Linked DNA regions of Oryctolagus cuniculus. The protein of the gene in region 2 purifies or fractionates together with the protein of the main gene of each other region. This does not show direct contact. Links are inferred from orthologs where the notes say so. Each region holds a gene or a part of one and is shown on either strand. Other genes may lie near its edges.

The links. Proteins that work in one complex are often made in the same cells at the same time.
Region 1: the proteins of NEURL4 (region 2) and CCP110 purify together in Homo sapiens (affinity purification with western blotting; 4 studies listed by BioGRID and IntAct, with this or other methods). This does not show direct contact. The link is inferred for Oryctolagus cuniculus from reciprocal best matches to the Homo sapiens genes NEURL4 and CCP110.

What each region holds. Positions count from the first base shown.
Region 1 is NC_091450.1:21,518,266-21,525,757, reverse strand, and holds the start of CCP110 (centriolar coiled-coil protein of 110 kDa), read right to left. Parts: upstream 3,863-7,492; 5' UTR 3,642-3,862; intron 1-3,641. Other genes in the region: GDE1 (glycerophosphodiester phosphodiesterase 1), read left to right, coding at 6,358-6,618.
Region 2 is NC_091448.1:51,922,091-51,928,856, forward strand, and holds part of NEURL4 (neuralized-like protein 4), read right to left. Parts: coding exon 6,525-6,766; intron 6,319-6,524; coding exon 6,253-6,318; intron 6,108-6,252; coding exon 5,809-6,107; intron 5,624-5,808; coding exon 5,512-5,623; intron 5,419-5,511; coding exon 5,330-5,418; intron 4,889-5,329; coding exon 4,816-4,888; intron 4,674-4,815; coding exon 4,409-4,673; intron 4,176-4,408; coding exon 3,994-4,175; intron 3,799-3,993; coding exon 3,713-3,798; intron 3,591-3,712; coding exon 3,428-3,590; intron 3,334-3,427; coding exon 3,135-3,333; intron 3,051-3,134; coding exon 2,974-3,050; intron 2,889-2,973; coding exon 2,810-2,888; intron 2,193-2,809; coding exon 2,017-2,192; intron 1,930-2,016; coding exon 1,798-1,929; intron 1,492-1,797; coding exon 1,346-1,491; intron 1,273-1,345; coding exon 1,048-1,272; intron 955-1,047; coding exon 856-954; intron 764-855; coding exon 602-763; intron 417-601; coding exon 252-416; intron 1-251. UniProt on the Homo sapiens protein: Promotes CCP110 ubiquitination and proteasome-dependent degradation. By counteracting accumulation of CP110, maintains normal centriolar homeostasis and preventing formation of ectopic microtubular organizing centers.

The sequences.
Region 1 (7,492 bases), on a different chromosome or scaffold from region 2:
GCAATAAGAAATGAGGAGGCCGGCGCCGTGGCTCAATAGGCTAATCCTCCACCTTGCGGCGCCGGCACACCGGGTTCTAGTCCCGGTTGGGGCGCCGGATTCTGTCCCGGTCGCCCCTCTTCCAGGCCAGCTCTCTGCTATGGCCAGGGAGTGCAGTGGAGGATGGCCCAGGTGCTTGGGCCCTGCACCCCATGGGAGACCAGGAAAAGCACCTGGCTCCTGGCTCCTGCCAGGATCAGCGCGGTGCGCCGGCTGCAGCGGCGGCCATTGGAGGGTGAACCAACGGCAAAAGGAAGACCTTTCTCTCTGTCTCTCTCTCACTGTCCACTCTGCCTGTCAAAAAAAAAAAAAAAAAAAAAAAAAAAAAAAAAAAAAGAAATGAGGAAAAAGTATATTCAGAATTATGATTCGATTATGGAAAATAAAATGTAAAGCTGCTTTTGCTCAACTAGCAGTTCTATCAATAAAACCTCTTGCTACCATTCTATCGATTATAATTATGGATGCCTATGTAATTTAGGAGGGATCACCCATCATATGCAAAGTGAGAGTTTAGTTTCAAAGAAACAGTTTTCTAGAGTGTGAATGAGATTACTTTGTAAGCTTATATTCATCTTTAAAAAGTTTTAACTTTATTTATGGAAGAGACAAAAAGAGACAAAGAGATAAAGAGCTCTGACACTCGCCAAATGCCTCTAACACCTAGGGCTGGACCAGGCCAAAGCCAGGAAACAGGAACTCAATCCAAGTCTCCCACGTGGGTGGCGGGGACCCAAATTACTTCAGCCATCTTTGCTGCCACCTGCGGTCCACACCTGCAGGAAGCTGGAGTCAGGAGCCAAAAGCCGGTCCCTACATAACCATGTTTTAGTCTGTTTTAACCTGCACTATGTTCTCTTAACAACCAAAATATGCAGCAGCTAAGCTGCAAGAGCAATTCAGATAAACTCATTTAGGCTAAAATATCTCAAAAGTATGTTTGAAAACCCAATCCACATCTGCAGCGTTCCAGGGAACAGAAATAGACCCGGCATGCAAATCATGTGCTATACTTTCTATAAATACACGAGCACAAAATTCAATTTTAAAGATCTGGGAAGTTTAAGGAAATAAAATACTTCCATGGCAACAGCTTTATTTTTCTTTCAACATCACAGATGCTTCATTGTTTCAGAAGGTTATTTACATTCTTTAAATAGCAAATGTATATACTACAAATTGCAGATGGATGAGCAGTCTTCAAAAAATCTGTGGGAAATGCATAGAATGAAAAACCTACGCATGGGTTGCAGAAGCTTTCTGCACCAGGGGCAGGCATTTGGCCCAGCTGTTAATCAAGACACTTGCGTCCCCAACGGGAGCACCTGGGCTCCATACCTGGCCCCAGCTCCAGGCTCCAGCTTCCTGCTAACGCAAACTGTGGGAGGCAGGGGCTACGGCTGGGCTCGAGTAATTGCAATCCTGCCACCCATGTGGGAGACCTGGACTGAGTTCCCACTCCTGGCTTTGGCCAGGCCCAGTCCCGGCTGCCACAAGCATTTGGGGAGTGAACTAACAGACAGAGAATATCTTGATCTGTGTGTGTGTGTGTGTGTCTGCCTCTGAAATAAGTAAGATATGCTTTTAAAGTTTTTTTCTAACAAAATAACCTTGTCTTTTAGCTCCACCTTCCCATAAACCTGTGACATATCTTCACAAGCAATACGCTGGTATTATTATTATTGTAGCATAACATACAGCATGCAACAATGCTTCAACTATTCAAGTATGAGTGCTGATATGGAGGTCACAGAAACTGCAAGCTGATCCCGGGCCACAGCGGGATCCCTCCTGCCTCTGGTCTCAGCTCAGGTGCCACCTCCTCACAAGGACCAGCCCTGAGCGCCCTTCTAAATTTACCCTGCCTCAGCCACTACCCCGTTACCCTGCTGTCTTCCAGTCTTCGGACTTAGCACTCTCTGAAATTCTCTTGTCTTTCTCTGGTTTTGTCTGTCTGCCTCCGCTAAAACGTAAGCCATGTGAGCGCCGGTACCTTCGCAGCCTTGTCCGCTGCATCCCCACTGCACAGAACAACGCGGGCACGCAGCTGGCACTCAGTAAAGAACGGTGAATACATGAATCAGCTGATTCCCTCCAACAGTAAGGTAAGCCAGGGAAAGGAAGAGGGTGGGCGACACAGCAAAAGAGCTAGCAAGGAAGGATGGAGTCCAGAGAACGAAGTTTCCCTGCTGACCCGGCTCTCTGTGAGCTGCAAAGGGAGCCACTTACAAAGTGAGCCGTCTGCATCCCGCGTGGCGTGGGGCACAGGCACTGTTTCTCTACCACAATCCCTCTGCTGCCAGGTTTTACTTCCACAGAGCCTTGGCTACGAGGCCAATCCAACCACAAGGCACTGCCGGTCCACAGCCAGGAATAACGTCGGCTGTGTGCCTCCTCTTCTTTGCTTATGAGCCAGAGTTCTGCTGAGCCTTATTCAAATGAGCCTCTTGACAAACCCAAGGAACTCAGGGTCCTATCTGCTCCTTACCAGCCAAAACTGTCACCGCAGAGAGTGACAAAAATAACACGGCCAAGATCCGGCCTTGTGGGCAGAAGCGAGCTGACTGGGTACCCATCAGGACCCCCGCCAGCATAAAATTCCTGTAGCAGCAGTCAGCGGCATTTCTTCTTTTTAATCTGGTGGGGGGGGGGGGGGAGGGCATAACAAATGTAGAACGCGCCTCACCCGGGCAGCACACACACGCAGAGCGAGACGCCAGGAGGAAGATGTGACATTCGGGCACACCCTGGCTGGGCGTTCTTGGTGAGCCAGCGACTGTCCTCCAGCTCATCTTCCTCCTCTGTAAAGTGCGGGTCATGGGGACACCTGTCTCACAGGTAGTTCGTGAGAATCCAAGGAGCGAATGCACTTAGCATACACAGGGCACACAGAAATCGTCCACGCATTGTGAAGAAGAGAATGCCAGTGATGATTTGTAGCAAGAGACTAGGAACTCCAAGGAGAGAGGGGGAGAGGGCTGGCAGTGACAGTGCTGGGTTCCTGGTAGGATGCAAATGTGACTGGAAAACACGGGACTGCTTGTTCATCGCGCCGTGCGCAGACCCCTTCCCACCAGGGCAATCCCTAGCCGGCTGCCACGTGCACAAACAGGGGTAGGGGGCTGGGGTGATCACCGGATAAGAAGCAAAGGCTGGGAACCAACCAGCAGCATCAGGGGCGATCCAGAGGATTCGCCATGCTTCCACCCCGGAATCGCAGAGGCGAGGCAAACGGCGCTCCCAGGTCGCCGGTTTCGAAAGGGCCGGGCACAGCCCGGGACGGAGACGGGGGAAAACACCCCCAGCTTCGACCCCCGAACGGGGCTCTCCGGCCTCGGGCGCCCTTCTGCCCTGCACGCCGCACCCTGCAGCCGGCTCCTCGGACATGGAGCCCGCTGCGTGCGGCCGGCATCCGAGCATCGCATCCCAGCACCACCGGCCTCGGGCCCCCGCCTCCCCACGCCCGGCGCCCTTCCAGGGGCTCGAGGCCCAGGAGCCGGCACACAGCCCGCCCTCGGCACCTCAGGGCGCCAATTCCGCCTCTCCCGCTCGCCTCTCCCCGGCCACCCGCCGAGGGTCCTGCCCCCTCCTCACGCACAAACCTGATGCCCCACGGCCCCCTCAGACTTTCTCCCTTCGCCACGAGCCTTGTCAGGCAGGAAGCAAATGGCTCAACTTGTACTGACAGAGCACAGTTCGGTCCGCCGCCGCCTTCGCCTCCTCCTCCCCGCCATATTACGGGTCTCAGAAGCGACAACGCGGGCTCCTGGCAACCGCCGCCGCTGCCGCCACCTAGACTCCACCTCTCAGGGCGGGCACTTCCGGTAGTGGCTTCGCGGGCAGTTGGAACGGTTGGGCTCCAGAAAACTACAGTCCCCGAGATGCACTGCGCACCCCTGACCAAGGGCGTGTGCTTGCGGCGAGCGGAATGCATCCTGGGAAATGTAGTCTTCCCTGCTACACCGCCCTTCTAGAATTACAATTTTTCTATAACCAGAACTCTGGTTGGGGTCTGAAGCCCCTAAAGTGTTCCATAAAGCTGCCATTTTTCTTCTTATTTTTATAGCTATTACCTCTCCCTGTGTGGTCGCTGGAAAACATATCATTCACAAATATTTTAAAATATATGTATTTTATTTGAAAGGCAGAAACAGAGACAGATCTCCTCAAATGCCCGCAACACCCTGGCTGAAGCCAGGATCCCAGAACTCCTTGGGGGTCTCCCGCAGGGTGGCAGGGACAAGTACTTGAGTCCACCTGTCCATTCTCAAGGGTGCCCATTAGCAGGAAGCTGGGACAGAAGCAGATCGGGGACTCCAACCCAGGCACTCTGACATGGGGTGGAAGCATCCCAAGCAGTGTCTTTGGGGCTGCACCAAATGCCAGCCCCTCAGCAATGTTTTTGCTCTGTACATAAAAATTTACTAAATCATAGAAGCCAATTGGAAGCCTTAAGATAATCCATACGCTTTTGAATTCCAATGAGAAGGTTTGTCCAAGAGAAACAGGTAACAGATTCAAGATGGAAGAAAATTCTCTGAATGTTTTACCAAAATTGTCTATTGAAAAGTCACAGAAGACGGCGTGGTGACATAGCAGGTGGAGCCACTGCCTGCAATGCTACCATCCCATATGAGTGCCAGTTCTCGTCCCAGATGCCCCACTTCTGATCTAGAGCCATGATGATGCACCTGGGAAAAACAGCCAGAGGATGGCCCAAGTGCTTGGGCCCCCGTACCCCTATGGGAGACCTGGATGAAGCTCCTGGCTCTTGGCTTTGGCCCAACCCAGCCCATTATAGCAGACATCTGGGGAGTAAGCAAGTGGATAGAAGATCTCTCTCGCTCACTCACTTTCTCTCTCTCTGTCTCTCCCTGTAACTTGCCTTTCAAATAAATAAGTAAATCTTAAAGAAAAAGGAAAAATGTGTCACCAGCCATTCAAAATATGATTTAGCAGCCTCTCTCCATTCCCTGAGTAGGCTTCCCCTTGGGTCTCTGTTCCTCTTTCTGGTGCTTGTCTTTGACTCTATAAAAGGGAAAGGTTAGAACTGCTATCACAGGGTGGTTGCAAAGCACAACTCAGATAACTCTCCCAGCGCCTGGTACATTAACCTTTAGTAGTAGGAAAAATAAGATTAGGAGGGTGGCAGTGGAAAAGTCACAAGCCACTGGCTTCATGTTAGCCCTGACCCTGCCATTACCCACCCCATTCTTTGCCTCTCCTTGGTTTCCTTACCACTGGGATCGGCATGCTGACATAGGGTAAGGGCGCTGCCTGCAACACCGACAGCCCATAAGAGCACCAGGTCAAGTCCTGGCTGCTGCACTTCCAATCCAGCTCCCTGCTAATGCACCTGGGAAAGCAGCAGAAGATGGCCCAGGTACGTGGGTCGCTGCAGCCACGTGGGAGACAGGGTTGGAAATCTTGGCTCCTGGCTCCAGCCTGGCCCAGTCCTGACTGTTGCAGTCATTTAGGAGTGAACCAGCACATGGAAGATCTCTCTCTCTCTCTCTCTCTCTCTCTCTCTCTCTCTCTCTCTCTCCACTCCCTTACCTTTCAAGTAAATAAATACATTTTTTCTTCAAAAAAGAAATCATTGAAATTCCTGTCAATTCTTCCTTTGCTCTGTTCTTCCATCCTCTCGGAATCACAAAAATCCTTCGAAAGTGGACTGAAACCACCCCTCTGAGATAATGCCCACTGCTGCAGATGTGGTGAGTCTACGCGAGCTAGGCATAGGCAGTGTTTGCTGGACAGCACCCGAGGCAGGATCAGTGCTGTGTGAACACTATCATCCTCCATAGGGCAGGGACCCCGCAGTCCTGCTCAGGGCTGGGTCCGGAGCACCCACGCCTGTGTGGGCACATCTCCATTGGAATACATAGTCTTAGCTCCCTGCACCTTCACGCTCCCCAGGACCTCCCTCTCCTCGAGGACGGACGAAGGAGTCACTTCAGTCCCTCCCACTCCTGCGGTCGCCGGCGGGCTCTGTCCCCTTCCCCTCCACACTCGACCCAAGAAGCCCAAACCCCAGAGAAACCCCCAAGCCTCTTTGGAACTTGAGCCTGGGGCCTGGGCCCGCCCCCGTTGCCACGGCAGCAGTTCCGCCCCTCGCGCCGGCGATCTCGGGCGCTGATTGGCTGGGCGGCCAGCTCCCTCTCGGGATGTGGCCGCCGCCGCCATTGTGCGGCGCTGGTCCCCTCGGAGGGTGCCGGAGGCGGCCAGTGCTCGGCCTCTGCCCCCTCGCCTCTTGCTGCCCCGGCCCGGGAGCCCGGCCGGCCCGGGACTCCCGTCCTTGCCGGTGCGGGCGCCGGCATGTGGCTGTGGGAGGACCAGGGGGGCCTCTTGGGCCCCTTCTCCTTCCTGCTGGTGCTGCTGCTGCTGCTAACGCGCAGCCCCTTCAATGCCTGCCTCCTCACCGGCAGCCTCTACGTCCTGCTGCGGCTCTTCAGCTTTGAGCCGTTGCCCTCCCGCCGGGCCCTGCAGGTGCTCAAGCCCCGGGACCGCGTGTCCGCCATCGCCCACCGGGGCGGCAGCCACGACGCGCCCGAGAACACGCTGGCGGCCATTCGGCAGGTGAGCCCCCCTCGCCTCGCGCCCCCTCGGCCCTCGTGGGAGCTCGGGCTTGAGCTTGCCCTTCCGGGGCCTCCCTGGGCTGCTTCCCACCCGTCGTCCGCAGGGACCCCTCCCGGAGCCCCGTGTCCCGGAGCCCCGCGTCTCCCCACGCAGAGTCGCTGCGCGCGGGACTCCGCGTTCCCAGAGCCTCCAGTGACCCGTGCCGGCGAAGAAGAAGGACAGTGACAGGGAGGGCCGAAGGAGGCCGTTTGAGGTGGAGTAGTGACCCTGGAACTGAAGTTAGGAGAAAGATCATCTGGGGAAACGGGTTCCAGGAACTGGAAACAGCAGGTGCAAAGGCCCGGAGGTAGGAATGAGGTTACCAGGCGCGTTCTGGTAACGGTGTGTGCCCTGCCTTCCAGGAACAGAACAAAGGCCGGTGTCTGAATACTCTGGGGCACCCAGCAAGTGCAGTGGGGTCCTGGACAGTGAGCCTGGGTATCCTAAATAGGTCACCCCACACAGCAGATGTCTTTCCTGGTCCTGAGTCACCTGCTTATCAGCTTCCTCCCCCGCCCAAAGACAAACATTCACACTCCCAGACAAGCAGCCAGATTCCCCATGGGTTGTTGCTTTTTAAGTTTTATTTTATGTATTTGAGAGAGAGTTACAGAGAGATGTAGAGCCAGAGAGGAGAGAGAGAGAGAGAGAGGAAGGTCTTCCATCCACTGGTTCACTCCCCAAATGACTGCAATGGCCAGAGCTGATTTGATCCAAAACCAGGATCCTGGAGCTTCTTCCAGGTCTCCCATGGGGGTGCAGGGACCCAAGGACTTGGGTCATCCTCCACTGCTTTCCTAGGCCACAGCAGAGAGCTGGATCGGAAGTGGAGCAG
Region 2 (6,766 bases):
TGTCTCTCAGGGGCTTCCTCCACTTTCCACTTGCAGCAGAAAGCCCTCCTCCCAGGTATCTCCCTCGGACGCCCAGCCCCGCCCTGCATTTGGTGGGAACTAATTTTCAGCCCCATTACAGACAGGAACAAAAGCCCAGGCAGCTCATCCAGGGGCTTGCCTTTCACTTTTCTCCTGGAAAGGCCTCTCTCCAGGAGGGCTGGCCCTGGGTTGCCCTGGACTGGGAGGAGCTGGCAGGAGGCAGGGCCCACCTGGACCAGCAGCTGGGGAATGAGGGGCTGGCTGATGACCACAATGCCCTGATTATAGCTGGCCACCCGCGTGGCTGTCCGATTCCCGTTGGACAGGAGGATATTCTTCCCATGGTTCTCCAGGAACTCGAGTGCTGTGGGCACAACATCCACTTGATCCTGACCCTGGGGCAGAGGAAGAGACTGAACTGCATGGGTTGCTGAAGTCACGACCAACCCACTGTGGGGGTTTACCCAGAGCTCAAGGACAAGGCCTCTGCCGGACCATCAGAGGAGCCAAGAAAGGCCAGGCATCCAATGGCTGCCCACTGCCCGTCCGCATGCCCAGTAGGCCCCACACAGCCTCTTACTCCCAGGCCATGCTCCTCGCCTTCGTCATCTTCCTCGACCTCACTGCCGGTATCCGAGCTGGGGGAAGGAGGCTGGGTGCCTTCTGACTCCTCCAGCCGGGTAGAACTGACAATGGAGACACAGCGCACTGGCCCATAGAGATCCAACACAGCCCACACGTTCTGCAGGCACACAGGACCCAGAAAACCAGAGATCAGAGGAAGGCCCCAACTCAGGAGCCCATCCTGGAACCCGAGGACGCTCTCCGGTCTACCTTGGCGATGCCAGTCGCTGCAGGCCCCATATCCTCTCCATCTACCAGGATGTGCATTGTGTCGTCGGCCCCCCGGCGAATACCCACACGGCTGCCCACCTAGGACCGATGTGGGACAGGGCAGATGCTCAGCCCACCTCCCTGCCACCCCCACTCCCAAGCCCTCCCAGTCCCCGGAGCCAGCTGCTTCACCCCCAGCCTCTCTAGGTTCCGGCCATAGTTCATCCTCTGCAGCTGCCCGTCACGCCTCACTTCACAGCTGGACACCATCCAGGTGGTCTTCGTCCGGAGCTCTGGCAGGGAGGGAGGCAGCCCGGGGCCACCGCCTGCCCCAGGCCCCATCTCCCCTGGGGCTAGTGTGGTCAGTCCCAGCCGGAGGGACCCCGCCCACTTTTCATCCAGCTCTTCCACTTTGACCTGCGTGAGAGACAGCATCAGCTGGCCCTGCCGTGCTGCCCGCGGCGCCCACTGTCCCACCTGCACAGCCCACCTCAAAGACTTCCTCAGCCTTGAGCTCCTTGGTGCTGAAGACGAGGCCGTGAGCATAGCCAGCCGCCCGCACGGCCCTCGTGCCGTCCTCCTCCAGGGTGACGTTCTTGCCACAGGTACTATGGAATCGGTGAGCCACACCAGCCACTGTGAAAGACGGCACCAGGGAAGGGGTAGGACTGGGGCTGCAGGCTTCACGCGAGACACAGGGCAGAGCCTTCAGATGAAGTGGGAAGTGGACACAAAGGGCCCCCTCTGCCACTACTCCTTAGAGCCCCAACACCTTTACACCACCCGTGCCCACACCTGGCACGCCCAGGCCACGGTGTCAGGCTCTGTGTACCAGGCATAACCTCCCCCACTTGACAGCGTGCCACTGTGGGCTGTGCCTGCGGCACCCCCAGGGCCCACAGCAGGAAAGCAGAGCCTGCAGCCCCCTCCCTGCCACTGCACCTGGGGAATGCAGGGGGAAGGACTTCTCGGTGGCGCTGTTGCTGGTCGCCAGGCTGTTGTCCATGGGGCCGGTGGCGTTAGTGATGGACACTTGCACACACTGGCCATAGAGATCCACGACTGCATACACCTCTGGACGGCAGAGGAAGCCACGGTCAGACGCCCGAGGTCTGGGATGCACGGCCTGAGGGTGCAGGCCCAAAGCCACAGAGTAGTCACCTTTACCCGGAGGCAAGCCTGAGCAGGCGGCGCCTTGATCCTGGCCGTTGATGAAGTAGTGCAGGTCGCCCTTGGCGGTGCGCATCATGCCGATGCGCGCCCCCGTGCCCAGCGCGTCCAGGTCACACCCGTAGTTGTTGCGCATCGTGTTGCCGTCTTGCATGATGGCGGTGCCGCTGCAGGGACGGCAGGAGTGTGTTCAGCCTCCCAGCCTCATCCCCACACTGGCCCCCGCTCAGTCCCTGCTGGTCAGACCCAGACTGGGGTCTTGGTCTGGGCCAGAAGCCCCATCCTGAGGTCCCCCAGGGCAAAGCAGAAACCATCCTACAAGGAAGAAAGATCGAGTTCCTGTAGGGCTAGGCAGGGCTTCTGTGACAGAAGGGACCGCCAGTCCCCTGGCTCTGCCCCTCCCAGCCGGCTCCATTCAGCCTCCCCTCAGCTGCTCTTAAAAGTAGGAAGCCTGGGGTTGGTGCTACAGCATCAAAGGCTAAGCCTCAGCCTGCAGTACTGGCAGGCTGCTCCTCTTCCAATCCAGCTCCCTGCTAAGACCTGGGAAAGCAGCGAAGGATGGCCCAAGTGCTTGGGACCCTGTACCTGCATGGGCGACCCGGAGGAAGCTCCTGGCTTCTGGCTTCAGCCTGGCCCAGCCCCAGCCGTTGCGACCATTTAGGGACTGAACCAGCGGATGGAAGACCTCTCTCACTTTCTCTCCCCCTCTCTCTGTAACTCTGCCTCTCACATAAATAAATATATAAATAAATCTTTAAAAAAAAAAAAAGGCAGGAAGCCCAACCTCAGCATCCACGTATCATAGTCAATGTCGGTCATCGTGTTGGGGAACTCCAGGTCTTCAGGCCGAATAGCAGTCACTCCTGGGGAGGAGGCAGGAACTGGTCAGCACTGACCCCGAGGCCACAGGCCCCAGGACCCCCCAGCACTCACACAGATGTCCCTCACCTGCCTCAATGGAGCCTGACCAGCGGTCCACCATCTTCTGAATGACAATTTCAAAAAGCTCTCCGTCGCGCAGGGCCCTGCCGAGGAGGCGGCAGTGAGAGAGGCCCTGGGGAGGCTGAGGCGGGGCCGCGGGAAGCAGGAGCGCCAGCGCGCAGACTGACCGGTTGGAGATGACGATGGCGTCGTTGAACTCGCTGCGGCAGTTGTGGCGCAGCGCGGTGCGGCCGCCGTTGGTGATGACGGCGTTACTGCCGTGCAGCTGGTGGAAGCGCAGGTCAGAGCCCCCGGCCCCTGACGACGGAGAGCTCGGGGACACCTGGTTGTTCCCCTCAGGGAGGGGCTCAGGAACCGGGGGCACCTCTGCAAGAGTGGACGTCACCCGTCGGGTTGCCAGGTGTCTCTAAGGCCTCCCAAGGCCACCCCAAGCCCCTGCCCAGCGCTGCCCGGCCCTCACCCACGTCGTCCACGATGGTGGCCTGGGCTGCCTGGCCGTAGAGATCAACGACGGCATAGACGCCGGGAGGCACGTTCCAGGCGGCGGGGCCCTGAGTCATCCCGTTGACGAAGAAGTGGAGCGTCCCGTCCTCCCGCCGCACCACGCCCACCGTGTCCCCTGCCTTGGAAGAAGGGGGGCTAGAGTGAGGAGTCAGGCGGAGTTCCTGCCTGGGCTGGTCCTGCATCGGCCCCCCTCGCCTGCCTCCCCTGCTGCTGTGCCCAGATAGGACCCTCACTCTCCCACCTTGAGGCGGTCCAGGTTGTGCCCATACTCGTCCAGGATGGTCGTCCCGTTGTGCATCACCCCGTTCCCGGTCATCATCCAGGTCCCTAGGGGGATGAGGAGTGGCAGAGGACACGAGAGGGAAGGCGGGGCCTCTCTCCTCTGCATGGCAGCCCCCGCAGAACAGCTCTGCCCTGCCCACTGGGTGCTCCCCAGCCACTAGATGAGGATGAGGGTCAGGGCTTCGGGGACAGCTTCCTCCCTGGGACCCCACCTTGGCCCTGGCCTTCTCGGGAGCTCACCAGAGCGCAGGTTGGTCATGGTGGAGGGCAACTGGAGATAGGCAGGGTTGTGAGTGGTGACGCCAATCTCAATGGAGCCAGCCCATTTGTCCACCATCTTGTCAATGCGCACCTGGAACACCTCTCCATCCCGCAGGGCTCTGCTGCTGAGTACCACGCCATGATTGAAGTCGTCGGTGGCACTGAGGGCACAGCACATGGGGAGTCAGATCCCAACACTCGGTGTCAAGGCTTCCCCCAGTGACGCCCGCCAGCCCCAGCCAACCAACTGAACCTCCCACTGCGGGAGGCGCCCCACTCTCCTGTCCAAAACGCCCCAGACCCGACTCCCTCTGCCTCTCACTTGTCCAGCCACCCCCTCTCCAGTCCCATTAGAGCCCCTTCTGCAGGCTTCTCCCCACCCCGTGGGCCATACTGGGGCCTCAGGGCAGTGCGTCCCTCGTGGGTGATGGCTGCCTTCTGTCCACAGTTAGGGTGGAAGAGCAGGCGCTCGGGTTCCGCCTGGGCGGCAGGAGCGGTTCGGCGGAGGGCGCCCTCGGGGGACAGTGCCCGCAGGATGGCATTGTTGCGGCGGAGACGGTCGCTGTGGTTATTATTGTGGACAATGGTCACCTTCACTGCCATCCCGTACAAATCCACCACACCGTACACCACTGGGGGCGTCAGCGGGGTGGCCACACCTGTGCAGTGGAGAACGGGGGGAGGGGAGTCAACCACGGGGAAACCGAGCACCCACAAGAGGCAGGAGGCTGAGGTCCTGACCCTATGCTCCCCGTCCGGCTGAAAGCTCTGGCCCAACAGCACCTGCGAGCAGCCCCTCACCCTGGTCGATGCCATTGATGAAGAAGTGCAGGGCAGAGTTGGACTTCCTCGTGAGGCCGATGTGGTCTCCCTCCTATTCAAAGCAGAAAAGCCGTGAGCCTGGAATCTACCCACCGTCAGGCCCCAGAACAGCGCTGGGCCTTGCTGCCACCCCCTCCACAGGACAGCAGCTCCCAGAGATGTCCACGCTAGCCTCAGATCACCCTGGGGCACAGGAGGACAGGTGCCCGGGCCCTGTTCTCCACACATGGCCACGTCTGCAGTTCCTGAACACTCAGTGCAAGTCAGGCGCTGAGTTAAACCGTCTTACGGGCGTCAACTCCCTCAAACCTCAACCTATAAAATACGTGCTGCGCTGTGAACAGCCTCATTTTAGAGGCTGCCGGGCAACCCCACCTCCTCAGAAGGAACCTCAGTTCTGGGTCAGAGACCACTGAATGCATGGCGGCCAGCCAGGGACACAGAATCCCCGCGTCGCCCAGGAGGGCGGCCGGAGGCTCTGGGCCCCGCGCACCTGCAGCTCATCCAGACTGAACTCGCAGTACTCGCGGCGGGTGCCTTTGCCGTTGGTGAGGATCCCACAGCCGCTCATCATGATGGTGCCTGGTGCGGGAGGTGGACGCCCTGGTTAGGACACAGGCTTCTTCCCCTCAGGAAACCCCAGGCCTGCGCCTCCACCCCTGCCAGTGCGGGCACCTGACTGCAGGTTGGTCATGGTGGCTGGGTACTCCAGACTGTTGGGGTTGTGCGTGGTGACACCGATCTCGATGGATCCCGACCACTTATCTACAAGCTTGTCGATGCGGATCTGGGGTCCAGTGACAGCGGAAGGGAAGACCAGGGAATGTAAATACAGAGGAGGGGCCCCAGGCCTTGGTTCTTCCCAGAGCACGCCCTCCTTCCCCACCCCTCTGCCAGCACCTCCCTCCCTATCCAGCCCCATCTTCAGCTCCCAGAGGGTGAGGCGCTGGCCAAACCCCAGGGTTTGCACACCTCAAACATTTCATTGTCCCGCAGCGGGCGGTTCGTCATGACGACCCCGTTGTTGAACTCATCCAGGGGCCGCCGCCGCTCAGCTGTCTTGTTGTTGTTGCTGAGTTTGATGAGGGTCCCACACTTCTCGTGAAAGAGCAGGGCGTCATTGGAAGTGAGGATGGGCGAGGTGGCAGCGCCGCTGGATGCCAGCCCTTCCCCTGCCGGGGGGGAGCTCAGGTTCACGTTCAGGAGCCCCCCGTTGTAGGCAGACAGGATGGTGTTGCTCACCACCTCCGACAGCTCCATGCTGGCAAAGTCTACAGCAGCAGGACGGAGGAAGGACAGCGCGATGAGACCGCGCCCTTGGGCTTGGCGCCCTCTCTCCCTGGCCCTGTCCTGCGGCCCCTCCCCTGTCCACCTCACTGCCCACTTCCCCTCCCAGGGCTTCCCCGAAGCCCTCACCATTATGCGAGTCAAGGCTGTTAGGAAACGTCTCCGGCCGGGCCTGCGCTGGGGACACCATGAAGGCTGGGGACCAGGTGGGAGGGGAGGGGAATAAGGGTTCAGTCCCTGCACCAGGGCCCACAGACAGGAGACCCCCTCCTTGAGCCCCTGCTCTCTGCAGGGATCTGAAGGGCCCTGCCCACACCCGGCCTCACCTGTCACTACAAGTCTCCCACCTGAGCTACTCCCGCAGCCCCACCCCTCCGCCGCGGCCCTGGCTGCGTTCTTACCTTCATCCCCGGAGGTTCCCTGTTCAGCCAAGGCGGGATCTTCAGAGGGGGCTGAGGGCTCGAGGGGAGGGGTGGGGAGGGGAGCAGGGGGACAGAAGCCTGGCTCAGGGGGCAGCACAGTGATCTGGGTGCACTTGCCATAAAGGTCCACGACAGCCCAGACCCGAGCGGGCAGGCCTGTGGCAGCCACGCCACAATCCCGCCCGTTCACCCAGAGCCGCAGCTCCCCCGCAGCCGTGCGT